Linked DNA regions of Caenorhabditis elegans. The protein of the gene in region 3 purifies or fractionates together with the protein of the main gene of each other region. This does not show direct contact. Each region holds a gene or a part of one and is shown on either strand. Other genes may lie near its edges. The genes, in order: pph-6, air-1 and saps-1.

What was found.
Region 1: the proteins of saps-1 (region 3) and pph-6 purify together in Caenorhabditis elegans (affinity purification with western blotting; one study listed by BioGRID). This does not show direct contact.
Region 2: the proteins of saps-1 (region 3) and air-1 purify together in Caenorhabditis elegans (affinity purification with western blotting; one study listed by BioGRID). This does not show direct contact.

What each region holds. Positions count from the first base shown.
Region 1 is NC_003281.10:3,458,415-3,469,976, forward strand, and holds pph-6 (Serine/threonine-protein phosphatase 6 catalytic subunit), read left to right. Parts: upstream 1-3,288; 5' UTR 3,289-3,289; coding exon 3,290-3,366; intron 3,367-3,887; coding exon 3,888-3,977; intron 3,978-4,033; coding exon 4,034-4,146; intron 4,147-5,612; coding exon 5,613-5,715; intron 5,716-5,772; coding exon 5,773-5,899; intron 5,900-6,617; coding exon 6,618-6,749; intron 6,750-7,440; coding exon 7,441-7,521; intron 7,522-7,710; coding exon 7,711-7,840; intron 7,841-8,421; coding exon 8,422-8,564; 3' UTR 8,565-9,239; downstream 9,240-11,562. Other genes in the region: C34C12.2 (Fibronectin type-III domain-containing protein), read left to right, coding at 1-595, 1,058-1,339, 1,407-1,631; C34C12.8 (GrpE protein homolog, mitochondrial), read left to right, coding at 1,997-2,046, 2,099-2,202, 2,271-2,512, 2,572-2,787, 2,909-3,010; smim-14 (Small integral membrane protein 14), read right to left, coding at 9,538-9,576, 10,635-10,838, 11,267-11,329. UniProt on the Caenorhabditis elegans protein: Catalytic subunit of protein phosphatase 6 (PP6). In complex with saps-1, promotes actomyosin contractility during cytokinesis by regulating the organization of cortical non-muscle myosin II nmy-2 and thus contributing to correct spindle positioning.
Region 2 is NC_003283.11:8,219,669-8,227,996, reverse strand, and holds air-1 (Aurora kinase), read right to left. Parts: upstream 6,510-8,328; 5' UTR 6,497-6,509; coding exon 6,446-6,496; intron 6,402-6,445; coding exon 6,340-6,401; intron 6,295-6,339; coding exon 6,109-6,294; intron 6,056-6,108; coding exon 5,912-6,055; intron 5,868-5,911; coding exon 5,759-5,867; intron 5,717-5,758; exon of another isoform or gene 5,548-5,716; intron 5,484-5,547; coding exon 5,256-5,483; intron 5,219-5,255; exon of another isoform or gene 5,024-5,218; intron 4,960-5,023; coding exon 4,759-4,959; 3' UTR 4,415-4,758; downstream 1-4,414. Other genes in the region: K07C11.10 (BBSome-interacting protein 1), read left to right, coding at 1,145-1,227, 1,298-1,364, 1,445-1,573, 1,748-1,846; pax-1 (Paired box protein 1 homolog), read right to left, coding at 1,960-2,316, 2,369-2,625, 2,873-3,032; cogc-6 (Conserved oligomeric Golgi complex subunit 6), read left to right, coding at 6,793-6,882, 6,931-7,071, 7,118-7,631, 7,678-7,913, 7,962-8,328.
Region 3 is NC_003280.10:11,291,994-11,301,750, reverse strand, and holds saps-1 (Serine/threonine-protein phosphatase 6 regulatory subunit), read right to left. Parts: upstream 4,052-9,757; coding exon 3,915-4,051; intron 3,869-3,914; coding exon 3,709-3,868; intron 3,656-3,708; coding exon 3,536-3,655; intron 3,495-3,535; coding exon 3,354-3,494; intron 3,301-3,353; coding exon 3,085-3,300; intron 3,030-3,084; coding exon 2,619-3,029; intron 2,551-2,618; coding exon 2,254-2,550; intron 2,192-2,253; coding exon 1,974-2,191; intron 1,927-1,973; coding exon 1,538-1,926; intron 1,388-1,537; coding exon 1,140-1,387; 3' UTR 501-1,139; downstream 1-500. Other genes in the region: raga-1 (GTP-binding protein), read right to left, coding at 1-189, 245-387; C47G2.4 (G-protein coupled receptor-associated protein LMBRD2), read left to right, coding at 8,275-8,343, 8,404-8,508, 8,581-8,912, 8,962-9,083, 9,135-9,222, 9,282-9,521, 9,667-9,757.

The DNA.
Region 1 (11,562 bases), on a different chromosome or scaffold from region 3:
AGAGGATATTTCATTGATGTCTGACAGAACCCAGGATGGGGAAGATTCAAGTGACTTCGGAAGTCCTCTAGCGAAATATCTGAAGCCTGATCAGCCCAGCACAAGTTCTGCGTGCTATGGGAAGCCGTTCTATTTTGAAAGCACCAGCAGCAGCTCCAGAAAGCCCATCACAGCATCTCCAGGCCCTCCAGGCCGAACACAAATTTCGGATCAGCTGAACACTGGAGAAGTTAGATATGTGGTGAATTCAGGAAAACCATTCAATTTTAGCTCGGAAAGTAACTCCAGGAACTTGAAGCTTATTCCAGGATATATTAAGAGACCAGAATTTCGCTATATCAAGCCAGAAGGCTTCACCTCAGCCTCTTACAAAGCTCAGTCAGAAGGAATGAGCTCGTTTTTGAAGACTGGAAGCTCTGCAACTCCTGAAAATTCGAAGAAATCAGCCCATTTTGACATGCCGGATATTTCCTCAACGCCTTACAAATCTCACGTGGTGGTGGAATCGGACGAAATGAATAGTTCTTCGAGTACAATTGGAGGATTTGAGTCAGAAAAGAAAGATAATGGAGCTCTCGGAAGCCAGAAATCTCCTGTTAGTTATAACGAAAAAAATTGCTAAAAAATTTACTTAAAATTCCGCGAAATTTTGCCAATCTGTCAGTATCGATTTTTTCAATTTTTCAGGAAAAAAAAGTCAAATTTTAAGGTTTTTTCAATAAAAAACTTTTGAAAATGAAAAAATCCGCCAAGACGATTTGTTCGATGGGGCGCGCTTGCATTATTTTTTGTTTTTGTTTTTTTGTCCTAATTATTTCACTGAATTCCTTCATGTTTTGTGTATTTTTACTGAAAATTTGAAAAGCTAATGAACAATTTGCATTTATCTTGACTTTTCATTCAAATTTTCAGTGAAAATTCACAAAAAATGAAGAAGTTCAGAGAATTGATGAGAAAAAAAAAACAAAAATTAAAATAATGCAAGCGCGCTCTATTGAACAAAGTCTCTTGGCGGTAATTTGAATATGAAACTGGCAAAAATGGAAAATTATTGCAGATGCCCGACATTGCCACAGCACTTCACAATATATTTGATTCAAAAGAAGTTCAAAGTAGTTCTTCAACCACCGGAAGCTCTGCACCGCCCGAAAATTCGAAGAAATCAGATCATTTTGACATGCCGGATATCTCCTCAACTCTTTACAGATCTCGTGTTGAGCCAATCAGCAGCTCTTCCAGTGGATCTACCAGCACAAGTGCTCCGAGATATGTGCCAAAACCAATAGCCCAGCCAGCTCGATATGCAATTCCAAGTCCGGGTGCTTTGAATGCCTTAAGAGTGAGTGACAGCCGGAATCGCTCAGTTTACTGGAGCGCACTTGCAATAATACATACTTTTTTTTCAGCGTCCCCCAGAATGGAAAGGTCAGCGCCGACATGCGCCGAGTTACGTGAAATCCAGAGAAAGCGTCACGTTCAGAGGATGCTCCAGATTTCCAGTCACATCACCGCATTTCGCGAAAGCTCACCTGGAACCTGTGACTGATGGAAAAGATGATTCGAAAATTGTCAAATATCGATTTGTACCGAAGCGACCAGATTTTGATGGAGAACGCGAACATAAGAAGTGACAAATCTTGGTTTTTTTGTGTTTAAGGCTTTTAGAGCATTGATAATAAATTTTTTGTTGGATTTGCTGTGTTTTTTTGCGGAAATACACAGATTTTTGCAGAAAAAGTTAAGAAAAAACTGCTACAGTTTGCCCTTTTCCACTTTAAATTGCCGCTTAAAAACTCCTCGAAAAGAGTGTGCAAAGCATGGAGACGCAGACACGCACGAAAATCACGCCAGCACGTTACTGGCGCACTTGAGTCATGTGCTGGCGCATTTCTTGTCATGATGAAATTTATTAATTTTTTCTTCGTTTTTTACCAATTTCCGCCGATTTTTCGTTTTTTATTCCTAATTTCTTCAAATTTTGGCAATTTCAGACAATATGCTGCGCAAAGGAGTGTCTTTCGTCGGCCAGGCTGTTCAACAAACGCTGTAAGTTCCTTGAATTTTGAATAACGGTGAAAATCAAATTTTTTCATTGCAGGAAAACTCAGAAAAACTTGCGCATTCAAAGATTCAGCGCCACGGCATCACAATCATCGGAAGAAGTCAATTATGAGATTAGAAAAGACGGAAAGAGACTCAGAGGTAGCGATTTTTACTCTAAAACAAATTCTAAATTCTAAAAACTGATATAATATTTAAAAAAAAACCAGGAGCCGACTATGAAGAAATTGTTCTTACTTCGATTGCCGGCGAGGACAAGACACAGATTCCAAAGGGTGCTTTTGATGTTCTTCTCAAGGAATACGACGATTTGCAGGCCGAAAGCTTGGATTTTAAGGATAAATATCAAAGATCGCTTGCTGAAACTGAAAATGTTCGTCGGCGAGGTATCAAGCAAACCGACGATGCTAAGGTTTTTGCAATCCAATCATTCTGCAAAGATTTACTTGAGGTTCGATTTTTAAAATCAAAATCAACCGAAAAACAATTAAAATAATTCCAAATTTGCAGGTCTCCGATATTCTCGACATTGCCGTCAAGTCTGTGAAGCCAGAAGATCTGGAATCGGGAGGAAAAGCTCTGAAAGATCTTTTCGAAGGAGTTTCAATGACCCGTACTGTCATGGCAAAGACATTCGCAAAGCATGGCCTTGTGACCGTGGATCCAACCAATGAAAAGTTCGACCCCAATCTCCACGAAGCCGTTTTCCAGATTCCATCTGCTAATGTTAGTGCTAACCGCCCGAATTTTCCGAAATAAAAGAGCCAAATCTTGTATTTTTTGAACAATTTGGGCTTATTTAATCCTTTTTAAATGCCACAAAATGCTTAATTTCCTCCATTTTCAGGCCAAACAACCTGTCGGACATATCGAAGTGTGTACAAAGATCGGCTACAGCCTGAAAGAACGTCCAATTCGGCCTGCTCAAGTTGGAGTCGTCTCTAAATAATTTTCTTTTAATTTTCCTCTGGTTTTTTAATGTTTTTCCGGTTTTTTGTAGTTTTTTTTTGAATAGCTAGTAATTTTTATTGTTTTTCTGTTTTTTCCGTTATTTCATCACACTCCAATCACTTTTTCCCGCCGTTTTATAGGATTCGAATGAACAATTTTTGAGTTTCAATTCCCTTTTTTCCACTTTTTCGATAGGTTTTCAGCCATTTTTCATATATTTTTTAATTTTAAACAGGAAAAAAGCTTCTTTTTCATTTAAAACCGTAAAATTTTCAGAATGATCGACACAAACCTTCTTCGGGTGACAGTGTGCGATGAAGGAGAGCTCGAAAAGAGCACAACGCATTTTATTGGGTACCAAATTTTGGATATTTCAAGCGAAAAATGCGATTTTCCAAGCACAAATCGCTTTGTGTCGATTTACGCAGCTCGTGTACTCCTCGAGGAGAAGATTTTTATAGTTTTTGGAGAAAATGCTCAATTTTTGACCAATTTAACATTAAAATTGTCATTTTAATTATTTTAAATGAAAATCGACTACAAATCATCGTTTCCAGCAGTTTTCCATATTAAAAATGCTGAATTTCAGCATAAAAATTACCAAAAAAGCGAAAAATCGGCGATTTGAACGTTAAACTTTTAAAAAACAGCGAAAATGTAAAATCTAGCATTTTAGTCGAAAACTAGTATTTTTCTCCTCGGGGAGTACACGAGCTGCGTAAATCTACATTAGGCGATTTGAGCTTGGAAATTGATTTTTTTTACTCAAAATTGAAAAATTCTGCGAAAAATTTCGAATTTTTTTGCAAATTTCTAAAAAAAAACTTAAATTTCAGCTCCAAAATTATACAAAACTTAATTTTTTTCATTTCCAGATCTCGAAAAATAGAGCCGGAGCAATGGATTACGTGGGCGAGCGAATGCAAATACTTGCCCGAATCTGACGCTGTTGCTCTTTGTGCAACGTAAGAAAAAAGCAATTTTCAGCAATTTTCGGCTCAAAAACTGAACATTTTTTCAGATTAATCGATCGTCTATCACTGGAAGCCAATGTGGTGCCCGTTTCGTCGCCTGTCACAATTTGTGGAGATATTCATGGACAATTTTATGATTTACTCGAATTATTCAAAACTGGTACGGAATCGGATTCGAATTGGAAATGTCACAAAATTGGATGAAAAATTCAAAAAATCAGCCGAAAAATCGAGAAACTTTCCGGGAAAATCGGAAAATTAGCCAAAAAAAAATCGAGAAATTGGATAAAAAAATTCGTAAATTGAATGAAAAATTCAAAAGTTGAATGAAAAATTCGAAAATTTGCCGGAAAATCGAAAAAATCGATAATGTGTCGATTTACGCAGCTCGTGTACTCCTCGAGGAGGAGAATTTCACTGTTTTCGGGCCATTTTTCGCTTTTTTAACATTAAAATTGCCTTTTTCAGATGGAAAAGTATTTTACTACTGCTAAAAACGAAGAATTTTCATATTTTCAACAATAGAAACCTAGATTTTCGCCTAGAAATGGCGATTTAAGTGTTTTTTACAACAAGATCGCGAAAAAATAATTAAAAATCAAGCATTTTAGCCGGAAAATTGTGATACACTTCTCCTCGTGGAGAACACAGCTGCGTAAATCGACACAGGGCCGTGGAAGAGGCCATACGGTTTTTTTTCTGTTTTCAAACATGAAAAAAACTCGAAAAATTCATTTTTACAGCTAATTTTCGATTTTTCGACGGAAGAAGAAGTTTTGGCGACGTTTTATGTGAAAAATTCAAATATTTTGGCAATTTTGAGTGTTTTTTGTGGAAAAAGGGTGCAAAATTTGAAAATTTATAATTTTTTCAAGTTTTTCTGAAAAAAAAACAATCGTTTAAATTTATTAATTTGAAAAATCGTCGAAAATCAATAATTTCAGCAAAAAAACTCTAAAATTCTTCTCCTCGGGGAGTACACGGGCTGCGTAAATCGACACGAAACGATTTTTCATCTAAATTTAGAATATTTCACCGAAAAATCGGTATAAATCTAGAAAAAATCACTTTTTTTCATGCGAAAATCCTTTAAAAAACAGTTTTTATACGATTTTCTTGAAAAAAAAGTCAAAAAATCGATATTTTTAATCCAGAAAGCTTAAAATTTCGAAAAAAAAACTTTTTTTCGTAAATTTTTTAAATAAAAAATGGCGAAAATATATTCAGCAAAAAAAACTCTAAAATTCTTCTCCTCGGGGAGTACACGGGCTGCGTAAATCGACATAACGATTTTTCATTTAAATTTTGATTTTTTCGACTGAAAAATCGTTAAAAATCTTGAAAACCCCACTTTTCAGGCGAAAATCCTTAAAGAAACAGTTTTTATACGAATTTCTGAAAAAAAAAAGTTTGAAAAAATCGTTTTTTTTTTATCCAAAAAGCTTGAAATTTCGATTAAAAAAACCTTTTTTCGTGAATTTTTTCAGTAAGAAATGACAAAAATATATTCGGCAAAAAGCTCTGAAATTCTTCTCCTCGGGGAGTACAAAGCGATTTTTCATCTAAATTTTGATTTTTTGAATGACAAAAAAAAATCGTGACGTGACCCATTTTTTCTCATTACAGGCGGCACAGTTCCCAACACAAAATACGTATTCATGGGAGATTATGTGGATCGAGGACATTACAGTCTGGAAACTGTTACACTGCTTTTTTGTCTTCTTCTCAAGTATTTTTTGATTCTTTTTCCTACCAAAATTTCTGTAAAAAACTCCAAAATTTGCAGATATCCGAATCAAATCACACTGCTCCGCGGAAATCATGAATCTCGTCGAATTTCCAATGTTTATGGATTCTACGATGAATGTCAGAATAAATATGGACACGGAAATGTGCACAAATGGTTCTGTAAAGTAAGGAAGCGATGGAAATTGAATGGAAATTGGAAATTCGTCGTGCAGAAAAAGCGATAAAAATCGTTAAAAATTCAACGTTTTGGCGAAATTATACGCGAAAATTCATGAAAAAATGATTTTTGTGCGATTTTCTGATAATTTTAAAAATTTAACTGAAAAATTGGCTGAAAAATTCAAAATTCGTTTCAAAATGGCTCCAAAAGTAAAGCTAAAAATAAGTCGAATTTTTATAAAATTAAAAATTTCATATAAACTTTCCGGAAAATTGTTTTTCTGTAATTTTCTTTTTTAAAAAACTTCAAAAAAACATGAAATCCATCAAAATTAGTTTTTGTGCAATTTTTGGACTCAAAAATGCTCGATTTTTTTCTGGTTTTTTTAAAGAAAACCTTCAATCTGCAGAATGGAAAATTTCCAAAAAATATTATTAAAAATGCTCCGTGAGCTCCCAAAGTTCTTCTCGAAAATCGCTTCAAATTATTTTTTTAAACGAGAGGTGATTTTGTAGAATAAAAATGACGAAAATAACTTTTTACTGTCAATTTTTGCGGAAAAAATCCGAGTTTTTACGGGATAATTGGCTCTTAAAGTGCTCAAGCACTAGATTACGTGTCGAAAAATACAATTTTTAGCCGATAATTGTATCGAAAAGGTATTTTTTCACCATTTTCATCAAATTTTCAGTTTAAAAAACTAAAAATTAATTTTTTTTCAGGTATTCGACGTTCTTCCAATTGGAGCTTTAATTGATGAATCAGTACTGTGTGTACATGGAGGACTTTCACCTGATATTCGAACAATTGATAGTCTTATGTTACTTGATAGAGCTCAAGAAGTTCCTAATAAGGTTGGAAATTTTAATTTATCGTGAAAAATTAATCGAAAAATAAATAATTTACCGGAATTAATCGAAAACTAAATGTTTTTATTTGGAAAACATTGAAAATTTAGAGATAAAAAATATAAATTTATTCAAAAGTTTCATTTTTCTTGGAAGAAAATCCGAAAATTGAGAAAAAATATACGAGAAACTATAAATTTATCAAAAATATGCAGATTAAAATGAGAAAATCGAGAATTCGGGAATTTTTGGAGAATTTTACTCTAAAATACGAAAAAAAAAATTGTTTTTTTAATACGAAAGTCTTGTTTTAAAAAATTGAATAAAAAACCGAGAAAATTTGAAAAACCGAAATTATCAAATAATGATTTTGATGAGAAAAATCTTAAAATATATTCAAAAAGATGAACAATTTCGATTTTGAAAAATCCAAAAAAAGATTATTAAAATTCTTTGGATTTTCTCATAAAAAATTAAAAAATTAACTTTTCGATTGCAAAAAAAATTTTTTTTTTCCGAAAAATGAAAAATTCTCGTTTTTTTTTCTTCAAAAAATTGCGAAAAAAATACGAAAAATTAGAAAATTTACTCAAAATATATGAAAATGACTGGAAATTTTCAAAAATTATTTTTTTTTACTAAAAAAAAATGGAGAAACTCAAATTTTCAATTAAATAAATTATTTCCAAATTTGCAGGGTCCTCTATGTGACATAATGTGGTCGGATCCGGATGATGACGTCGAAGATTGGGTGATTAGTCAAAGAGGAGCTGGATTTGTAAGAAAACTGACTGATCTGCCGAATTTGGGCAAAAAAAACAAAAAAATTTGGATTTTTTCTTTTTCCAACTGAAACTTGATAGTTTTTTTTGTTTTTTGGTCCGAAAAAACCTTTATTTTTTTTGCCAAAAATACGACAGCCCTGTCAATTTTGGAATTTCCACTTTAAAATTAATTTTTTTTGCAGGTGTTCGGAGCAAAAGTGACAGAAGAATTCCTAATGAATAATGATCTTTCACTACTTTGCCGGTCCCATCAACTCGTTGACGAAGGATTTAAGTATATGTTTAATGAGAAACTCGCTACCGTTTGGTCGGGTAAGAATTTCTTTTATTTTGCTGAAAAATTAGAAAAAAAATTCCAAAAAAAAGATTATGGGTCGATTTTTGAAAAAAAAAACGGAAATTTTCCGATAATTTCCCGTTTTCGAACTTTTTTTGAAAAATTCTAATTTATCAAAATTCATTCAAAAAACTCAAAAAAAAAATCGAAAAACAAAATTTTCTCGGTTTTAAGAATTTCTCCTTTTTTCCGAAAAAAAGTTTTAATGTTTTTTCATTAAAAACTGAAAAAAAACTGAAAAACTTAAAAACTTGGAAACTGAAATTTTTTTAATCGCACAAGCTGGAAATTTTCTTGAAAACTGAAAAATACCTCAAATAAACTGAAAAAAGAGAAGAAAAAACTATTTTTCAACTGAAAAAAACTGAAATTGCTAAAAAAATTATTAAAAAACTAAAAGAAACTGATTTTAAAAAAACTGTAAAAAAAAGGATTAAAGGAAACGATAAAAATTTAAAAACAGAAAAAAGAAAATAAAACACTTTTAACTGAAAAAACTGAAATTGCTTTAAAAGTTATTACAAAAAGAAATTTCAAATAAATGGATAAATTGCAGCTCCAAACTACTGCTATCGATGCGGAAACGCGGCGGCCGTATTCGAAATCGACGGAAACAATCGCTCGACGAAATATTTCAACGCAGTTCCCGATGGAAGCCGTGAGAAGCCGGATCGTGTCGTTGCTCCGTATTTCCTCTAAATATTACCTCACACCTGCCTGCCTATTTCTATTTCCGCCACAGCTACATAATTTAATTATTCTTTAAAATTTATGGTGGAATAGTGTAAATCGCTTTTTAAAAAACCCAAAAAAAAACCTGCCAAAATAATTGAAATTCCAAAAAAATCCCACAAAAAACAATAAAATTCAAGCTAATTTCCCGTAAAATTTGACATTTTCCCCTGATTGGTCAAAAAAGGGCGGAGCAAATCGCTGATTGGTCCTGCAATCAGAGGCTTGTTAATTCTTTTTTTCGACCAATTAGCGATTAGCTTCGCCCATTTTTCGACCAATGACCGGGGAAATTTGTCAAAAGTTGAGCAAAAAACATGAATTTTTCATTATTTCTGAATTTTTTCCGGGTTTTTATCGTTTTTTTGTCAATTTTCATCATTTTTTGCTATTTCAAAGCAAATTCACGCTATTCCATCTTGAATTTTAATGTTTTTTGTCTGGAGTGGACCCCCTATAAAAGCCTCGGTTCCTCGTGTACTTGATCTTCATTTTCCCCCATTTTGTGTGTATTCTCTCTCTGATTTTTCACTTTATTCTCATGTTTTTCCTTCTTTCAGCTCCTGTTCACTTTTTTCCGTCGTGTTCCCCCTTTCTCTTTCTCTCATTCCTTAATTTAATTTTAATGTGTGAACAATTATCTCTCTCGAATAATCTCGAATCTTCATTCATATTCCCAGAGAGACGGAAATGTACAAGAAATTGGTAGGGACTAGTAGTAGGCGATTTTCACAGAAAATTTGACAAAAAAAAAGAGAGACGAAAATTGTGATACCCAAAGCACAGGGGAGAGAAAATTAAAAGCATATGAATGAATAGAAGAGGAGGACCCAGAGGATTCCAGTTGCAAAAATAAAACTGGATTTTTTCAATTTATACACAGGAATGGTTGGTGGCAGAGGAGAGTGTTACAGAAGACGGACGGTAGAGGATTTCAGATTTACATTGCAGATGGCGGTGGAGGTGGTGGCGTGTTGTCCTGGAAATTGGAATTTTAAAATTTTATAGGACGCGTACTCCCCGAGGAGAAGTTTAGAACATTTTAAAATTTGAAATAGTTTAATTTTATATTTAAAAATCTGAAAATCGATAAATTTTGTTTTTTTTTTTTCGATTTTTTCAACAAAAAAAAACTATCGTATGAACCAAAATTGAAAGTTTTCTAGTTTTTTTTTGTTGATATTGCGTAAACACAAAGTTCTGACGCTCAAAATATCTCGTAGCGAAAACTACAGTAATCCTTTTAACGACTACTGTAGTTTTCGCTATGAGATATTTTGCGCGTGAAATATGGTGTGCAATACGTATTCTCTGAATTTTGCGTTCACGTAATACTAAAAAAATAAACAAAAATTCCAGGGAATATTTTTAAATTGTTTTTTTTTCAATTTAGCAATAAAGTCCAAAATAAGGAACTGGGTATTCCATATCCCCTAAAAAATTTTTAATTTTTTTTTTCAAAAATTCAAGTTAGACTGTAGGACAAACACCTATAAAACCCGGTGATGATTTCTTTTTTCGCGTCTCTGATAACTGATTGACCGGTCAATGTATTGCCGGGCGGGCACAAAAAAAAAAGATTAGAGACGCAGAAACGCGCTCCACTGCCAATTGAAAACGCTCCGCCCCCAAACAGTTGGGTCTCGTTAGGAATTTGGCGGAAAAACTGGGAATTTCGCTGATTTTTATGCCGAAATTATTGTTTTTTTTTCGATTTGGGATAGAGAATACATTAAAAACAACGAAAACTGCTTGAAAATTTGAAAATCCGGTTTTCCCGCCAAATTCCTAACGAGACCCAACTGTTGGGGAGCGGAGCTTTTACGTTTAGCCGTGGAGCGTGTTTTCACATCGATTTCACAGGTGATTTTTTCTGCGTCTCTCTAATACAATAAAATTAAGATACTTGTGCAAAAAGTACCGTAGTACTTTAAAGGCGCACACCCGAAATTTTAATTTTTCGTGGCGAGACCCAAAATTGGCCGTGGAGCGGGTTTTCTGCGCTCTTGTGATAAATCCGAACTTGACAATACTAACATCAGAACTTCCAGTTGGTTTTTCAATTGCTGCATCATCGGCGGTTCTTCTATCAGATCTCATTGAATTGGGTCTCATCACGTAAAGTGCCATTGCCATAAATGTCCATAAAAGTGTCCACATCATCATTGTATTGCCACCTTCACGACTCAAACCATCATTGTCGCAACCCGTATCTGTGCAGTCCGCTTGCGAGTTTCGGAGCTGCAAAATTTTGATTTTTTTCAAAAACATTTTTTTTTTTTGGAGTTTTATGACGATTTGCAATGGGTATTCAGATACGATATGTTGTGATTTTGTGCGTCGGGGTCTCGACACGACAATTTTTTATTTTTTTGTTAACTGCGAAAAAGGCGTGCGCCTTTAAAGGGTACTGTAGTTTCAAAGTTTAGTTGCTGCGGAATTTTCATAGATTTTTAGTAGTTTTTCGACAAAAATATAATAATTTTTTGAACCAGAAGAAAGCGATAAAAACAGAAAAACGTTTGAAACTACAGTACTCTTTAAATGCGCACACCTTTTAGCATTTCATATCAAATTTATCGAGTCGAGAGCCGAAAATTTGTTTTTTTTAAATTGTATTGGCAAATTTCGCGCTAAACCCCGAATATTTCCATAATTATTTCCCTTACCATAGCCAAAAGTCTTTGCATAGCAGATTCATGATCGAAGAAACATTCACACGGATCACTCATTCTCTGAAATTGCGAGTTTCCGTCGTTGAACTTCACAGAATCGAGAAATGAAACGAACAGAGAACGTGGACGGGAAAATATAATAAAAAATAAAAAAAAGTGGGCAATGCAACGTTGCCTTACAAAAATATTGCTCAATGGGGAGAGATTGCGAGAGAAAACAGACAAAAAATCAGCTGGGAGACGACGGGTTGTGATGGGAAACCATGCACATTTTTCATGAATTTAATGAC
Region 2 (8,328 bases), on a different chromosome or scaffold from region 3:
ATTTTGGATTCAAATTATTCAGCATATCAGCATTAAGAATGTGTGTTCGAACCTAAATGCTTTCAACCAAAAAATTGATTATTACATCGTGTTCAGAATTCTGTCAACTGTTCAAATTTCACTAGTCTATCCACATGGGATCTCGAAAATCGTAGTTCGCTAAATATTTCTAGTTTCATATTTAAGATTTGAAATTCAGCCTTTGAATTCAAAATATCTCATCCTAATTCAAGAAGCCATTATTAAACGAGAGTGAGAAATAATGGAATTTAAATTTTAGTTTTGAACAACGAGCCCGTCTTGTTGATTACTCCACACTGTATTACAAGCGAATGAAATTTGAACACGTGGTTGACTGCATTAGGGTTCGAAATTACATTCTTAGAATCAAAATCAAACTATCAGAATGTTTTTACCAGTTTGCCAGATGATAATTTTCTAAAACTTTACTATCTCTAGATCTAGAGCTCCAAAACCGTAGTTATGGTGAAGTTCTCAAGTTTAGACTCTTAGACTAAAGGTATTCAATCTTGGTAGGATCTCATTTCAGTAGGGCATACTCTTTTTTTATTTTTTTATTTAGAGTTACCTCATTCTTGTATGTTGCCAAAAATCATAATCACAATTTTTCGTATCATCTTCCAACGATCAAATTTGTGGATTTCAGTTTTTACAGATCTGTGACAGTTTTTCTAAAATCTCGGGCATTTTGCCAGTGTATTCTGACCACTTGAAAGCCTGGCAATCCCATTTTTTTAAATTTTGGCATCAAAATCATTTTTAATCGCAATTTCTGTGAAAAAATATTCGTAATCCATGAATATCCGAGAATACGGTTGACACGTGTTCCTAGTATCAAACATTATATCTGCCTACACTTACCAATTTCGTCTAGTATCGTTTTCATATCATGGAAATCATTTTCAACATTTTGTAACATAAGTTTTTTAAAATTGTTTTCAATATGATCACCACAGTCGTATAGCCACATTTTCATTCTCCCTGGAGATGATATCACATGTTTTCTGAATAATATTTTCAAAATTTTTCGAATAACATCAACGTGCCTATTTACCATTTCTCCAGCATCTCTCAATTCGCTAATTAGTGCTTTTGGAAAAAGCTCACGACACACCTATTCGAAATGGATCTGGTCACTTTTCTAAATGGTGGTGTTGACGAGGGAGAGGTTGCCCCGGCAACGGAGAAGAACGAGAAACAAGAAAGGTTTAGTGAGAGCACAAAATCGATTATATTATTTTATATTATTATTATAATTTATATTATTTTTTCTTAGAGTTGTAATGTCTCAAGGCGAGAAGTTGGAAGAGAAGTTATTTGTCGACGAGTGCTACTTGTTCCAGGTACGGTTTTTTTTATGTTCAATTTTTGAAAATTATTGTTTTGATATATTTTAATTGCTGTTGGTACTTATGAATTTTAGGACGAAACGTTGACTCCGATCTTCTGTAAGCCAAAGCTTATCCCATTGAAGACCATCACTACTCAGAAGCTCGAGAAAATGCAGCGTGAGCAGATGGAGAGACTTCAGGTCCCAGAAGGACAGAAGGCGGTGAGAATTTTGGTTTTTTTTGTTGGAAACTTTAGAAATTTTCCAAAAACCATGTTTTGTAATTAGTGGAGTCAGATAGGGTATTACATTGTACTATTCTGGTACGTTTTTAATTAAAATTTTAACACTTCAGTGTTGTAAATGAGCGATTGAAATTTTTAAATATATTTCCAGAGAACTCCGGAGTCTGCTGAGGCCGAGTCGCCAAAGAGCAATGAAGGGCCATCAACTTCTGAGCCAAAGGAAGCTGATGTCTGGACTGCTGATGATTGACGAAATGTTACATGAACATTCGCTCATTAATGAATAATCAATCAATTAATTTATTTTGTACAACTTTACATAATCATACGATTGCCAAAAAAAATATTTCCGCAATTATCAATTCAATTTGCAATAAAGTGATATGAATCATAAGATGGCGGTGTATTTGAAGATGAAACTTGATAATCAAGATTTCCAGAAATTTGATTTAATTCATTATTGTTATATTCCATATACTGATGTTGTTGTAGATGTTGTTGCTGCTGCTGCTCGGCGAGCTGATCTCTGATGTATCGAAGTTGAGAGCTTGATGAGCTTGAACTATTTCCTCCGTTTTTATTCCTAAGAATTCTGCTTATACTACTGACTGATGGAAGGTTAGCTCTATCGCAAATGTCGGCAGAAATAAGTCGATCTCGAATCTCCCATGCAAAAATTCCTGGATCAGAGCGCTTCAAACTTCGAATATATTCAACAACCTGAAAAAAATAAAAAAAATTTTGGAAAAATCTACGCCGGATTCAAACTCACTTTAGGCGTAGTAACTCTCGGTCTAGATCCTCCAATTGTTCCAGGCATTATTGTTCCATTTTCTGAGAACCGAGTCAATATTTTCGAAACGCATCCATGACTGATTTTTAGTTGACGAGAGATGTCACACGGTCGTGTTCCTTGTCTCGAGAGCTCAACTATTTTACAACGCATCTCAAATGGAAGTGGTCTTCCATTTACGAAAACTCCACCAAGTTGATTAACTTCGGCAGTTTTGGCAGGAGAGTTGGCAGGGGCTGATAAAAAGTTGCGTTAAAAATAATACTGATAGTTTCTATTAGCTTGATTTCATTGCTAGAAAGAATTGTCTTAACTTTCATCTCATACTGTAAGGATTTCAGACAATTTCTTTAAAGATATAGTAACTAATTATTAAGAATCTATAAAGGTTTTCACTGCCAGTGGAATAAGTTACTAAAAAAATCCATGTAAAACCCATGTAATTCTTAAATGAAAAGCCGAATTACAGACAATTGTACTTACCGTAACCCGATGACGTAGATATCGACGAATATTGTTGAATTCCATTATCAGAGCTTGGAGTCGTTGAAGTAGACGATGGTGTTGTTGTCCAGAAGACATCAGATGTTGTTGATGGATGATAAGAAGACATCATCCACGGTTGAGCGGTGTCGCAGTTCATGCTCGAGCGAGTGTGACTGTACCAATGCGGTACGTGGTCCGTAAAGTAACTGGTCCGTGCAGAGCTTCTTTAATCTCAAAGCTCTCAAGGCTCCGCCTATTATAAGGCAAGGGGGGGGGGGCAAACAGTAGCTGCATAGGTATTTGTTGAGATTATTAGGGGGAAACGATGGGACTTTGCCAAATAGGAACCAGCCGGTGGGAATATGATTGTTGGTTACTGTAGGCAGTTGAACTTGACAATGTTTTACCCATGATTCCATTTAAGGATGAAGTTACACGGGTGTGTTTTAACATCTGAAGTCGTGGAAGCTCGTGGTTTAAATATCTGACGTCACAAATCTTTTCGAAGCCTATAGACTCCTGTGGTGTTAATTTCTGAAGAATAAACTGTTTTGACATAAACTTGTCAAATCCAGGTGTTGATACGGTATTTATTCTTAGGTTTTTTAGTACATCTCAGTCCACATGTGACGGCATTGCTTTTCCACCAACGACTGCGTGATTTTCTTCGATTTCGAAGGCATGGAACACACGGACACCTGAGAAATGTCACTGTTTTTTTCTAGCTGCTAAATTGTTTATGAAAACAGATAAATATAAAAATTCAAAAAATTGAGCAACGTAATATCGTCATATCCAATCAACCACTTGACAAACACCTCTAGTGCATATCTACGGGTCATCTTGTTTGTACTCACCTAAATTGACTACATATATCCAAATCTCCATCAAATAAATGGTTAGTAATCACCGGATATGTAACAACCAGATGGTAACGACCAGTTATTCGCGCAAATATTAAACATTTTTGTGCATTATTCTAGTATCTAATTGATCAGTTCATTTCAAGGATTACAGTTATTATTAAACATTAGAAAGAAATGTTTATATTGTATTTTCACGAAATGCTGAGATATCAGTTAAAAGGCACACGATGTTTTCCTGAGTGGGTCTCGGCACGAACTCAGTCATAGTGAGGTTCCAAAATTTACAGATTTTTTCATTTGATATGGAAAATGTACTATACGAATTTTGAAATTCTGAAATGTACAGAAAAAACTAGAATTTTTCATGTAGCACATAGCACCTAGCTAGGATAAAGTTTTTGCGAATGTACGATATTTAAGGCTCTCTGCCAGATACCACTTAACGTTGTTAAACCTCCGCTTTATGTTTCAAACTTTAGCTGTTCCAAAAAACGTTCCCACTCCTACCAATGTAGTGTTAACTCGTTATAATGTTTGCATACCATGCTACTTTTTTGGCGGAACAAAACAGTGCCAAAAAAGGCGGCAGCCTTCTACTTACCGCCACCACTGTTTGAGTTTTGGCTTTTAGCAGAAAGCATTGTATTTCTTCTGAGAACCAATGAACAAAGAGGTGCACCATCGTTTATGTGATAATCGAGACACTTGGATGCGAAATTTGGGAAAAAATTAATGGGGCAGACGGGAACACACGATACAGTACTTTCACGGGAATCTAATGATTTTACACACACACAAATAAAGAATAATTGATTTAGATAAATTTAAATCCTTCTCGTTGTCAGTGTGAGAAGAAACAAAAGGATGAAAACGGATAAATTGCTTAAATGGATTAGCGAAAATAAGAAGTTAGTAGCCGTATGATATACGGTTCTAAAGAAGGGAAAGTGCAGATGATAATTGTTTGGAAAGACAAGTAGAAAAGGTTGAGACTTTAATGGACAATAGACAGAGCTTTTATTGATTGGCTGTAGAATTATTGCGACTGGATTTCGTGAGCGTCGAAATGAAGAGTGGAACTTCAATGTCTTCGCGTTGCTTCATTTCCTTAATCCACGGATGAGCCATGATGTCAACAAGTGGGAGACGTTCTTGGGGTTCCTTTTTGATTATTGCATTTATCAAACTGGCAGCTCCGTCAGTCACAACACTTGGAATCTGCAAAAAAGAAGCAATTTAGATGAAACTACTTGGGAAACAAAATGGAAATGAATGTTTGAGAACTGTCCCGAGGAGAAAAGGAACCATATTGCATTAAAAGCAAACCGGCACACGCATCTCGAGCTAGACTTCTATTGCAGTTCTTTGAAGCTTCTCACAGATGAAACCGTGAGAGGCAGGAGATATATGACATGAAAAGATGAAATGGTTACCCAAACCATCACTTCATGCACATATTTCTGTTGGAGAACTGCTTATTAAGATTCTAACAAATTTAGTTCATAATTACTAACATAAATCTTGCACTCCTTGATTCTGGCGATCAATTTATCACCAGTTTGATTGGCGAACGGAGCATATCCAACAAGCATTTCGAAGAGAAGAATTCCAATTGCCCAAATGTCAACATTAAAGTCATGTGGCTGATTGGAAACCATTTCCGGAGCAAGATAATCCATGGTACCGCACAATGTATGGCGTTTCGAGTGATCAGCAACGACGGACCATCCGAAATCGGCAAGCTGAAATACAAGTCTTATTTTTTAGAAAGAATGCATAAAATGTGTTGAATTTAATTTTTACGGTAATTGTCCCGAGGAGAAAAGGAACCAGATCGCATTAAAAGCAGAACGGCACACGCATCTCGAGCTAAGCTTTTATTGCAATGTTACTGTGTGATCAGAGTATAAACTCTTTTTCAGCTAGTGACTTCTTTCGGCTCGGAGAACCAAAGGATGCACTGAGAACATTGCAGAAGACTTTTTGAGTACTTAGTTAACCATATTTATACGCGTACCTTCAGATTGAGCTTCGAATCAAGAAGAAGATTTTCAGGCTTAATGTCTCTGTGAATAACTCCTTTCGAATGGCAGTAATGCAACGCATTGGCCAGCTGTCGCACAAATCTGAGGAAATTTACTATATTTCTGAAATATCTACAAAATCACACCTTCCGGCAATGACCTCATTCACTTTGTGTCCAGGTTGTGATTGGAGGACATTAAATAATTCTCCTCTGCTGGCATAGTCGAGAATGACGAACACACGCTTGTCATCGTGAAAGTATCCATAAAGAGTGAGAATATTCGGATGACTGAAATAATATTGATTAATTGATTTGGATGAGATGACTTCGAGAAAACATACCGCAAATGATATTGAATTTCGATCTCTCTCTTCAACTGATGACTGACTCCAAGTTGAAGCAACTGTGTTTTGAAGAGTACTTTCAAAGCTATGATTCGCTTGGTCTTTTTTTCACGAGAGATGAAAACGTTTCCAAACTTTCCTTTTCCGAGAGGCCGTCCAACGTCAAAATCATCAAGACTCCAGCTAAAGTCCATTACATTGTAAAAGTAATAAATCAATTATTCTCACCATGATTCTTCCCTTGCCTGGTCAACTCTCTGAGGTCTGCTATCTTCCGTAAGTGAAATAACCTGAAGATTAGAATTGATGCCTTTCTAATTTTAATAACAATTACCTCGGCCTTCTGATCGTCTATCACAGGAGCAGTATTTTCCTTTCCGCTCATGATTAATGTAATTCTGCGAGTTGAAATATTATAATAAAATTGAGGAATAAAAAATTTAATGAGAAAGGAAAAAGAAAATCGCGACTAATTCAAGAACACGTCAAAAATTAGAACAAAGGCAGTCACTTTGAATGAATTTTGCTTGGCGGGTTGTTGAGCGGCATTGCTAAACAACACGCGCTCTGTTATTTCGGAGTGTCGTTGCTGACACGTTGCGAATAAATCAATTCTGCATTTTCTATTCCACTGAGTTCTGCGATTTTTTTCGCAGAATTCGGTGAATTTGAATCAATAAAATGTCAGTAATCGATAAAACTTCATCAGCAGTCAATCCTTTACGAGAAAAAGTGACTACTGCATGTGCAAAGAAGCTGTATAATGACAAGGTCAGCTAAAATATTAATTACAAACGAAACTTATGGCATTTCTTACAGGATTGCATCAAAATTGCTGATTTCATCACTCCACTGGTCGAAGATATGAACCTTGATTCAAATGTTGATAGGAAACTACACAATAAACTAGAACGATACGAGTTGAGACTAAACAAGGAATATTTGAGCGAGTTCGAAAAAGTTAGAATAAACCTGAAATCATTTCATTTTAAATCTGCTATTTCAGATAAATAACATTGTGCAAAAATTCGATGAGCTCTGTGTAAAAATGAACTCCACATGCACGAATTTATCAAAGCAAATGGAGACTGTAAAGTTCAAAAGTGTTGATTTGGTGCAGAAAACAGCAAGCTTGAAGGAGAAGAAAGCGAGTATAGAAAGCCGTTGTAATATGATAAATGAATTTCTCGAAAACTATTCTTTATCAAGTGAAGAGCTTCGAGAATTAGACGAATGTGAACAAAGTGGTCATCTATCGGAATTTTTCTTCAAAGTTCTTGAGAGGTGCCACGAAATTCGCGAGAACTGCAGAAATATGGTTCAGGAGCAAGGACATCTTGCCGCTTTTGAAGTGATGGAAAAAATGCAAAAAATTGACGAAAGAAGCCATGCAATTATCTGTAACAATCTGAAACGCGAATTTCAAAATCTGACAGTTGATTCTCATCAGAAAAAGCAAATTCTTTCTAAAGCTTTCAAAATCATAAGTCAGAATGATGCTGTATTCCAGCTTGCCATTGGTACGTTTAGTTCTTCAAATCTACTCACCATTAACCTAGTTTTCAGACCAATACATTTCATCTCGCTCACAAGAATTGCTCAATCAGTTTGTTGAAATTAACAAAATGGCTGTCCAAATGCCTGAAGGGTTGGCAGAACCACTGAAGGCAGTTGGAGATATGCTGACTTCGATTCACGAGCTCACGGAGCAAGAAAAACAGTTGTTCAGCTCAATTTGTTCCGCAGAAAATCTTCCGATCGTTCTTGATGAATGCCTGAAATCTTTGACTTCGCCGTTCAAGGTAAAAAGTTTAAATTATTGGACTATAATATATGATAATAGTTTACAGATTAGGGTAGAGCAACTGCTGTCGACAGAAAAAAATGCCATCACAATTTTCAAAATGGGAAATATTTTAATTTTCTATGCAAACAAGTTCGAGACTTTGATTCGAAAAGATAGTTATTTTACAATAATGCTCGCAGATCTCGTCAAAACAGTTCGTCAAGTATGTATTGCCGGTATAAATCATCACGTGGACGGACTTATGAGAAAGATGACATCACCACACTATGATCTCCTTCCAGTCCCAGAAGTTCGGCAATGCCTTTCACTTTATCACGGGCTTATTTCAATTGCTGTAAAAACAGGAGATTTGAATCTTCTTCTTGAACCAGAAAGGATCTACGAATATGTCTTGGAACCACTTATTCAGA
Region 3 (9,757 bases):
AGAAGAGCTTCGAGACAAGACTGGTAATATCTGAGATCTTTCTCGAACTCTCGGCTTTCCACGTCGAATACGTATATGAGCACTTGAACATTCTTGAAGATCTGATCCTTTTGCGAGACGAGGAAGTTCTCCATGAATGATTCCTGACCACCACAATCCCACAAGTGAAGAACCATGTTTCCGAGGAACCTGGAAAAGGAAAAATTGTGTTCTTTTGATAATTGATCCAGAATTGATCCCTTACTTGACATGAGCATGCTCAACTTCGATTGTTGGCCCGAGACGCGAACAATCCCTGGCGATGTAGTTGGCAAATATGATCGAACGCATCGAAGTCTTGCCGGATCCACTTTTGCCCATCAGAAGAACTTTTCGTTTTGAAGACATCTTTTCTGAAAATAAATTATGTTTTTTTCTGAAGATCTTTGAAACAAAACTAAGATATTAGAACAATGATCATAAAACATCCAAATTTTCAATCAAGCTATAATTTTTTAAAAAGAATTTATAAACTCATGAAAGAGGAAGAAATACAAGAAATAGTGGGAAGTTATTATTGAATGCAACGAATTGTGAAATAGGATGGAATGGAAAATCTGATACTCACTAACACGAGATAAACAATCAATGAAGGTGAAATCAGAATAATTGAATTTCAATAACCACCTAAACAAGAAAAAGAGTAGAGGGGGAAAAGATTGGACCAAATTAAAAGTTGCCCGAGAATCATATATTATGTATTAGAAGAAGTAACAAATAAGCCGTGCTTCTTATCACTGGGGGCGCTCACTTTTTTTAAATGATAAGATAATGTTCTTTAGAAGAAACCAGCAAAGATGAGAAGCCACGGAAAATTCGGAAACAAAATTCTAAGTGCATCGGATGCAACGGTTTTAAAGTCGGTGGGAATATGGGGAAACATGAACAACGAATGGAGAATGGGAAAGAACCGCAAAATCGAGATTGATAAATTAATAAGTGAAATTTGCAAGAAACACACACACACAGAAAAATTTTGGAATTCTGGTTGAAAATGAGGGGGAAGTTCGAAGTGAATTGCATACAAGACTATAAACAGAAAAATGTAGAAAATAATTGGGATGTGAAACGAATTGGGGATGACACGAGTTGCAAGGGCTTCAAGCCTCGCTGCTGTCTCCAGGATGGGATATACTCGCAGCAAGTCCAACCATTACCGGGTCGGATGCTTTCGATTCGTGCGAGTTGTTCAACGGCCAATCCGACGCTTCCCCTTGAAGATGAATGTCTGATCCAGGCCACGCATCGGAGCTACTGGACGACGCCGAGTTTGCAGCTGCAGTCGGACTGATGGTTGGGAACGAGGAGAAATCGGCCCACATATCGTCTTCCTTTGGGGGTGCCATGTCTGAAAACATTGATTTTAAATTGAGTAATAAAATTGGTTCAACATAGGTGGGATGGCTTACTCCAGGAAATCGGAAAGGGAAACCGACGTGCAACAATCTACAGACTTGATGGTGGCTGCAATCCCACCTATCATGTCCAGCTTTATTACCTAAATGTGAAAAGTCAGGTGCCGTCTCGTCAACCCAGTTATTTTCCGGACGATGTCCAGTCTGAGTGACAACTTCGGTTTCCCCGAGTGGTGGCACAGTTGGCCACACCCACTCCCCGTCTCCTTCTTCCTGTTCTAGAAAAGCCTGATTCCCGTTTGTCTGTTGTGGATACGTACTGGCAACGACACTCGGTGGTTCCGACGCCTTCTCTGATGTCTTTTCTGCCTCTCCAGGCCATTTGATTGGGCTCGTCTCGAAACTTATTCCAGCGCACGACGAGGAGTTGGCTCGCTCTGAGCACAACTTTCTGAACTCATCCTCGTCCGGCGTGTCGTCAAATTGACCTTCAAAGTCGGAAAATCGCTGCATATTTGGTTCGAATGGCGAGCTAAAAAATAGATTAGACGTAAAATTGGCAATAATTTAATAACTAACCTAAAACCAGAAAACGCTTGCTTAGCAGATGATGTTGCATCCATTTCGGCGAATTTCGTAGAAGCATCAGTCCACTCTTCACTATCGTTGAAACCGTGACTGTCGTTTCGAATCGATGAGACCACACTGGAATCATTAAAATCGTGTTGCATCTGAGGGCGATGTTTCAAGTTGTAAAGATGAATGATATCTTCGAGTTCTGTCCATGTGTTGTCTGCCTGGAAAAATTATAAAAAATATATATAAAGAACGATAATAAATAAATAAATAAATTATTTACACTCAAAATAGCAAGCAACTTCTGATTGGGAATTCCTGCCTTCTTCGCACGGTTGATAGCATCTCCAAGGTTTTGATTGAACGATCGGAGACCACTGCAAGCTACCGAGGATCCAGGATTTGGAGAGGTCGCTGTATCGTATATGTTCTGAATTAGTCCTCCTTCTGTGAGCAAATATTCTGCAGCTGGAGACAGCTCATCACATGGGAAGCTGGAGTGTAGAAGTAGGATGACAACTTTTACGAGGAGGCAGTGGAGAACACTGGCACGAGGCAGCATCTTTGCAGCTTTGATTAACTGAAAATTTAAAATTTAAAATTCAAATTTTTGATAAAGAAATAAGAAATAAAATAAATTATGCATACATTAATGAAGGGAAGACTTCTGAAAGCGACTGCAATCTTCTCATGCGTTGACATACAATTGGTATTGCACAATTCGATAATCAATCGCAGAAGTGGTTGCCAAACTGAACCATTCGCTTCGATATCTCGCAGGACTGTCTGAAGAATGTTGGGCAGCCGATTCGCGAGAATCCCCTCGACGATTCTTTCGGGATCCGGTTGATAGGAATGCTCGTACGGATCGTTGTCCATGCACGGCCGCATTAATCCATAGGAATAGTGTCGTTCCTCAATCAAATTTCGTTCTATTTCCTCAAGCTGCTGGGCAGGTGCATTTGAAACAAAGTTTGTCTTGATGAAAGCCTCCAAGATTTTAGCTGATGCACTAATAAGGGCGGACTTTTTGACGAGCTCCTCGGCGGGACAACCTTCCTAAAAAAAATAGAAAAATAGATGTGACTTTTGGAATTATGCCAGTAAATACTACCTCAACAATCAGATTATCTGCAATTTTAGCAATCAACGTCTCATCCATTGATTTTGCGTGCAACTCATCGACCTTGCTCTCCATAATGTACAGCTTATCCCTCAACTCTCGCAGAATTTCGCAATAAACCTCAGCAAGACACTCCTTTTCATCGTCTGTCTCTGATTCCCGCATCCGATCGACAATCTTCTCGAATAAATTTTCAGATATCATCCACTGTAAATAGAGAGTTGCGGCAAGAATGGTTTTAAATACAATTTTTCTGATACCTCCTTCACAATTCTCGTTCCCTCACTTGTGGTTGGAATTCGCACCAGATTCTCGAGAAGACACTCGATTGCTCCGAGATTGATGTTTCGGAGGCATTTGTCGAAAAACTTGGTTTCTTGGAGAAGACTGAACGTCTGAAACTTTATACAGAGGGTCTTTGGAGTGTTCGTATTCAACGAACCAAGTCGAAATGCCTTGACAAAAGGCATTCCATGATTTTTGCGAAGAATCCGGCAACGAGATGGTTCAATGGAGTTTTGTCGTTCAAAAAATCGACCAGGCATTTCCTTGTTTCTTCCGTCTGAAAAAAATTAATTAATTAATTATAAAATATGCGATTCAACCCTGACTCACTGTGACAATCTGTTTTTGAAACACATCAGTTCCTCGAATCGTGAGAATTTCCGAGGCTATGAAAGAAAGCCTGTATTGTTGTTTCATCGGCAGATCGGTGTTGATTTTGGGGTTCAGACTGAGCTCTAATAACGCCTTCATGTTTTCCCTGCTTGTGATGCTGAAAATATACTTTTTATGAAAATAAATGCTAACTGGAGACTTACTATTGAACCAATTCAGCTTTTCCATATCGAGATTCCTGCACAACGAACTCGTTGAGCAGGACATCTTCCAACGTGAAGTTGTCGGTCTTCAGCAATCGCATCAGCGAGTTTTCCTCTTCTTCTTTCGCCCAGAACATCTGGAAAATGCTGGTAAACATTTTAGATAGCTTTTTAGCGGGCATCGATTTACGGCTACGATGATAACACAAAGAACGCCGGGCGGTGCTAGGAGAAAAACAAAATAAAAAACGATATTCGTCAGTAACAGCGATAAAACTCGCAAGAAAGTTACAAGAAAATCAGAGAAAACGATGATACCAGCGCCACGGAAAATGTTTTTATAAACGAGAATGAAAAAATAGCGCGCAAAACGCAGAGTGTGCATTATTGCGTAATTTTGTGCGCGGGTGCGCGTGATTTCACGCCAGAATGCAGACACATTTTTTAGACAAGTCTAGTCTATGAAAATTTAAATAAAACGTTATTTCTCCGAATTATATGATGATAAAACATGCTTTCATAAATAAAAAATACGAAAATTTCGAAGTGGCCTTCACACTCCACCTATAGTACACTCACATATTTGACGAGCGAAATATCTCGTAGCGAAAACTACAGTAATTCTTTAATTGATTACTGTAGTGCTGGTGTAGATTTTCGAAAACCATTTATTAATAGTCAAAATATTAGAAGAAAGCACAAAAAACCTCTGGCTAAATGTCAAAACCTCAGGCTCAAAGTATTTTATTCAGATGCTCAAGGTATTTTATTCAGATGCTCACTGTGAATCTTCATCACTCGATCGACCATCTGTCACAGCTTCAGAAGCACTCTCCTGAGCAATTCTTCTCGAGCCACTCTGCTCTTCAAACTTCATGCCTTCATGCTCGAGATCCTCTTGATTTGGCTGTTCCATCTCATTTGGTGAATGTACAATGTTGAGATCTGGCTCAGGCTCCTGCTCTGGGCGAGCTTCAACATTGTGATCCAGTGAGTCGTCGAGATTAAGGAGCATCGGGTCGTCATCATCCTGTGTGATATCATCCTCCGCATCTGAATCCGAAGAATATGCATCGCTTGAAGCAGAAGTTCTGAAAAACAATTATTTAGAAACCCACAGTGAATATGCAATTAACTAACCCCTCTCTGTCACGTCTGGACTTCTTTCTATTATTTCTTCTCTTTCCCTCTGCCCACATTCTTTTAATTTTATCTGCCTTACAATGTTGCCCTTTCAGTTGTTTCATTCCATCTCTTGATATACCGTATTTCTTCTATTAATATGGCTGCAATACTATTTTTCGATGGCCTTCCCGTTTGCAATACTAATAGGGAGTGCAAGACTATTAGGGAGTGCAATACTAATTTTCAGAGCATATTTCTGACTTTGAGCTTACTAGTTTTTTTTCTGAAAAAGCTCGAATCTTATGTAAAAATTCAGAAAATTTGATTTTCATATAAGTTCAAAAACTTCAATCTCGTAGAAATGTTGTAAAAAACTGTTGCAAAATAGGCAAAAAATTCTGTTGAAATCCTAAAATCAGCGATAAGGGATTGCAATAAAAAAAGAGTAAACGCAAGACTATTAGGGCGTGCAAGACTAATAGGGAGTGCCATACTAATTTTCGGAAGGTCTCCGAGGGGCAATACTAATAGGGAGTGCAAGTCTAATAGGGAGGCCATATTAATAGAAGATATACGGTAGATCTAGAGATCTTTTTTGGATCCAATTGGATATATCAAAATATATCTGGATATATTTCGTTTTAAATAATTTATTTTCGAAAATTTACACAAGTTTTACACCACTTTTTCAGAATTTATTACAAGATGTCGCTTTTGTCAGAGGTGCATGTGCTTCGTTTTCAACGATCCTTTCAATGGCAGTGACACTTCTTCCAAGGAAAAAGCTGGTCCAGCTTGGTCTGCAATGAGAAGTCGGGAGAACAAGGAAAATATGCAAAGTTATCAGACTAAGCCTAATAACCACGTGGAATCGATGGATTGGGATGATAGTGAATCGATGGCGGCTCAATCGGTTGCTCAATCAACTCGTTCCAGTCATTTCAAGCCAGGACTTTTATCCAGAAATATCAATGAAAGAATGACTGCTCAACAGCTTACACCCTCCGTGGCAAATTTGAATCAAATTTGAACCGACAAATGGCTCAGCAACAGAATCACACACCGACTAGATCATTGTTCGGGCCACCACGATCTATGGTAGCTTCACAATACGACAGGAGTCACTACATGGCACCGGAAGCACAGTAAGATTTGTTTTAGTGGAAATAATTATTGAATTTTGCAAGTCCATATCAACTCACAAAAAAATTCAGCGGCTCGATCTAAATTACCGTGTTTTATTCTTGGCGCCTAGTTTCGAGAACTGTTTAGTTTACAAATTTGATCTACTTTATCGTTCAGAATAGAATGAAATTGACGATTTTCCCGCATTTTCAGAATTCTCTAGAAAAATAACTTTTATCTTCGCACGAGCCAGCCGTTGAAATTTCAAACTGTTTTTTTAAAACTACATAAATTACTATTTTTTCCAGATGCTCGCAGCCGCCGAATTAAATTTGGTAGAAGTGGAAGCAACATTAAGATTTCGTCAACGTCTGATAATCTGCCAGGAACGCTTATATAGAGCGACCGTACCAGAAACGGAGCGAATCCAGATTCCATTGCTCAAAATTCTCGGATTCGCTTGCAAATCAGAAGGAGTGGAGCAGAGATTCAAGGTCTAGCACTACAGTTCATCGAAAATGTACAAAATCTGGAAAGATTTTTGGAAGAGGAGAACGAGAACTTGGCTGCCGGTGATACACAACGAGCTCAAATCCTATGCCAAGAGTTCCGTCACCACTTCAATCAGATTAATCAATGGAAGTACCGCTGTGTCGCGAATATGAGACGAATTTCAAATCGCATTGGAGCTTTACGACGTAGATTGTAAGTTGTTAAATATTCTTTTGTTTTTTTTTGTCAATATTTTGATCATTTTCAGGGCACTCCCGGTGAATGTCGAATTCGGCGTCTTGGATATCGGTCAGCATGGATAACGGAGACGGTGACAAATAAACTCGTTTCGGTTCCAAAACAAAAATCCCTTTTTTAATTAATCACTAAATTTAAATTTCCTGATTCCTCTTCTGTTTCTTTTTTTTTACCCAAGCTGAATAAGCGCAGTTCTCTGAACTTTAAAATATTTTATTTATTTATTTTATGGAGATCACATGATAAAGTTCGTGAAATTATGCACTTGTAATTATGGCTATAATAATTATTAAAGCAGGAGTGAATGTTAGAGAAGAAGAACTCGTCGTAGTTTCAATATGAGATTCAACAGTGAGGCCGGTAATGAGATCGAACTGGAATTTCTGAATCATCGAATCCCAGAAGTTGTAACCAGATTGAAAGATCTGAAGTTCGAATTGTGTTAATGATTTTAAAATTTAGAAAAAAAAATTAAGGAGTTCTCAGACGTTTATCAGTAACTGGCTTTGGCCCGATAACTGTAAATATGAGAGAAAAGAATTTCTGACAGTTTAGAAATTACTATAGGATTCTATGTTAATACTCTTTTATATCAAGGAAGTGATTAAAAATGCGGTGACGGTTCTATCATCATCGTTAAATTCGAAATAATTGTCCTTGTAGACTCCCCAAATGTATGGGAATTCATGACAGTGATACGTAGCCCGAACTGGAAACTCTGCATCAAATTCGGCAGGATTAAAGTATCGAAAATGGTAAAGATAGAGATCAGGCGACACTTCAGATCTTGCACGAGCTTCTCGAAGAATAGGAATATCGAATCCAGTGTTTGAGTCGATCTCGAAAAGTTCGATGTTACACTGACGGAAAATTTAGTGATTTTTGTCCTCGCCGGTCTCGGCACGACAAAATATCGCTAGATGTGAAAAGGTGTGCGCATTCAAAAGGAGTACTGTAATTTTAAACTTTCGTTGCTGCCACGTGGTGTCAGGTTGTCCCATAAGGGTTTGATCTACAAAAAAATGCGGGATTTTTTCCCAAAAATGTGACGTCAGCACGTTCGTAACTATGCGAAATCAGTTGAGCAGTCTGCGTCTCAATTCCCGCAATTCTCGTAGATCAACCCGAAATGGGACATTATGACACCACGTATCGATTTAAATATTAAAATTGTTCTCATGTTTCCATGTCCCGAAAAATATGCGTCCGCAGGGAATACAAGTGCGCCCCACCGCACTCCTCTTTTTCTCTAAATCTCTTGCTCTCCTCCCGGAGTGAAAAGTTCGAAGGAAATACGTGTTTTCTGCGCATCGATGCTATTTTTATCTGAATATGTGATCGGTTGGATGTAACATTTAAAATGGGAACTATTTCGCTAGCCGTTCAATTATTTATTGTTTTCCTTCTAACTTCCTATTTATTGAATAAGGTAAGCCAGAAATAGATTATTTTTTCAAAGAAACTTTAAGCATTTCATCATTCTTTTCAGTACTCAACAATCCGAAAGCAAAATCCAATTGTGACGATATCCACGTTTATTGGATGGTATTTCTCGCTAATTATTGTGTTCGTTCTCCCTCTTGATGTGGCAATTGTGAGTTTTTAATCGGAAAAAAGAGATTTTAATGCTAAATATCAACATTTCTTTACTAAAACCTTCTTATAGACATTCTTCCACAAATGCGAGAACGATCGACAGCGAATTCTAAACACAACAACATCGACGCCGGCGCCTGTTGTTCCGGAATGCGAACTTCCCGGCGGTTACGTCCCCGATGATGTTCTGTTCAACCTCTGGCGCGTTGTATATTGGAGTGCACAGCTTCTTACATGGCTCATACTTCCTCTTCTTCAAAGCTACGTAACAGCTGGAAACTTTACGATTCTTGGGAAAATCCGTGCGGCAGTGATCAATAATGCTCTCTACTACGCTATTTATTCGTTATGCTTTCTAGCGATTCTCATTTATGCAATGTTTAAGGGTGTTTCTATTAACATGTAAGTGTCAAAAACTTGTTATATTTGAACAACATTTGAACATTTTCAGAGAAAACCTAAAAGTCATCGTGGTCTCTGCATCGAACACATGGGGATTATTCTTGCTTGTAGTGTTGCTTGGACACGGGCTCGTCGAGCTGCCACGTAGTCTCTGGCACCATGGAAATCGACGTAAGTATAGAGATTTTCTTTAAAAAAATAATAATTGAAGATATATTACAGACTATCGATTACGAAAAACCTATTTCGACATCGAAAAGCTTGCGTCAGAGAAGAGTGAAGCAGAGGAAAATGTGAAAGATATTTATAAGTTAGTAAATACAAAATTTGAAAATCTTTATTATTATTGTTGCATTATTATAATTTCAGGAAAGTAAGAGTGCTATTCAATTCGATGAAAAATGACTCAAATGGCCAGCGGAGAAAAGTCCGAACAATTCTTTCAAAATTCAGCGATGACGTCATCGATAACCTGTTCCCATCTCGTCAAGTAATCGATAATGCTCATCTCGATGAAAGCGGACCGTGTTCTGAAGCTAAATTGATTAGTCTTCACAAAAAGACAATTTATGCGGTGCAGACGCTTAATAATGCGACGGCGCAGTGGAAGTGAGTTCTGAAAACCAAGTTTGGCACCGAAAATACGTGTCGAGACCGACCTGGCATCATATTTTTTTTGCGCAAAAATAACAAATTTTCATGTCTCTGGTAATCATTCTAGAATATATTCTATCAAATTCTTTTTTTATTTCAGAGTTCTCGTGGATCGTGCTCTCTTTCTGGAAAACCTGGCGTTCTCCGAATCCAATGGCTACAATCTGGAACTATCCAGGAACACTTGCGTG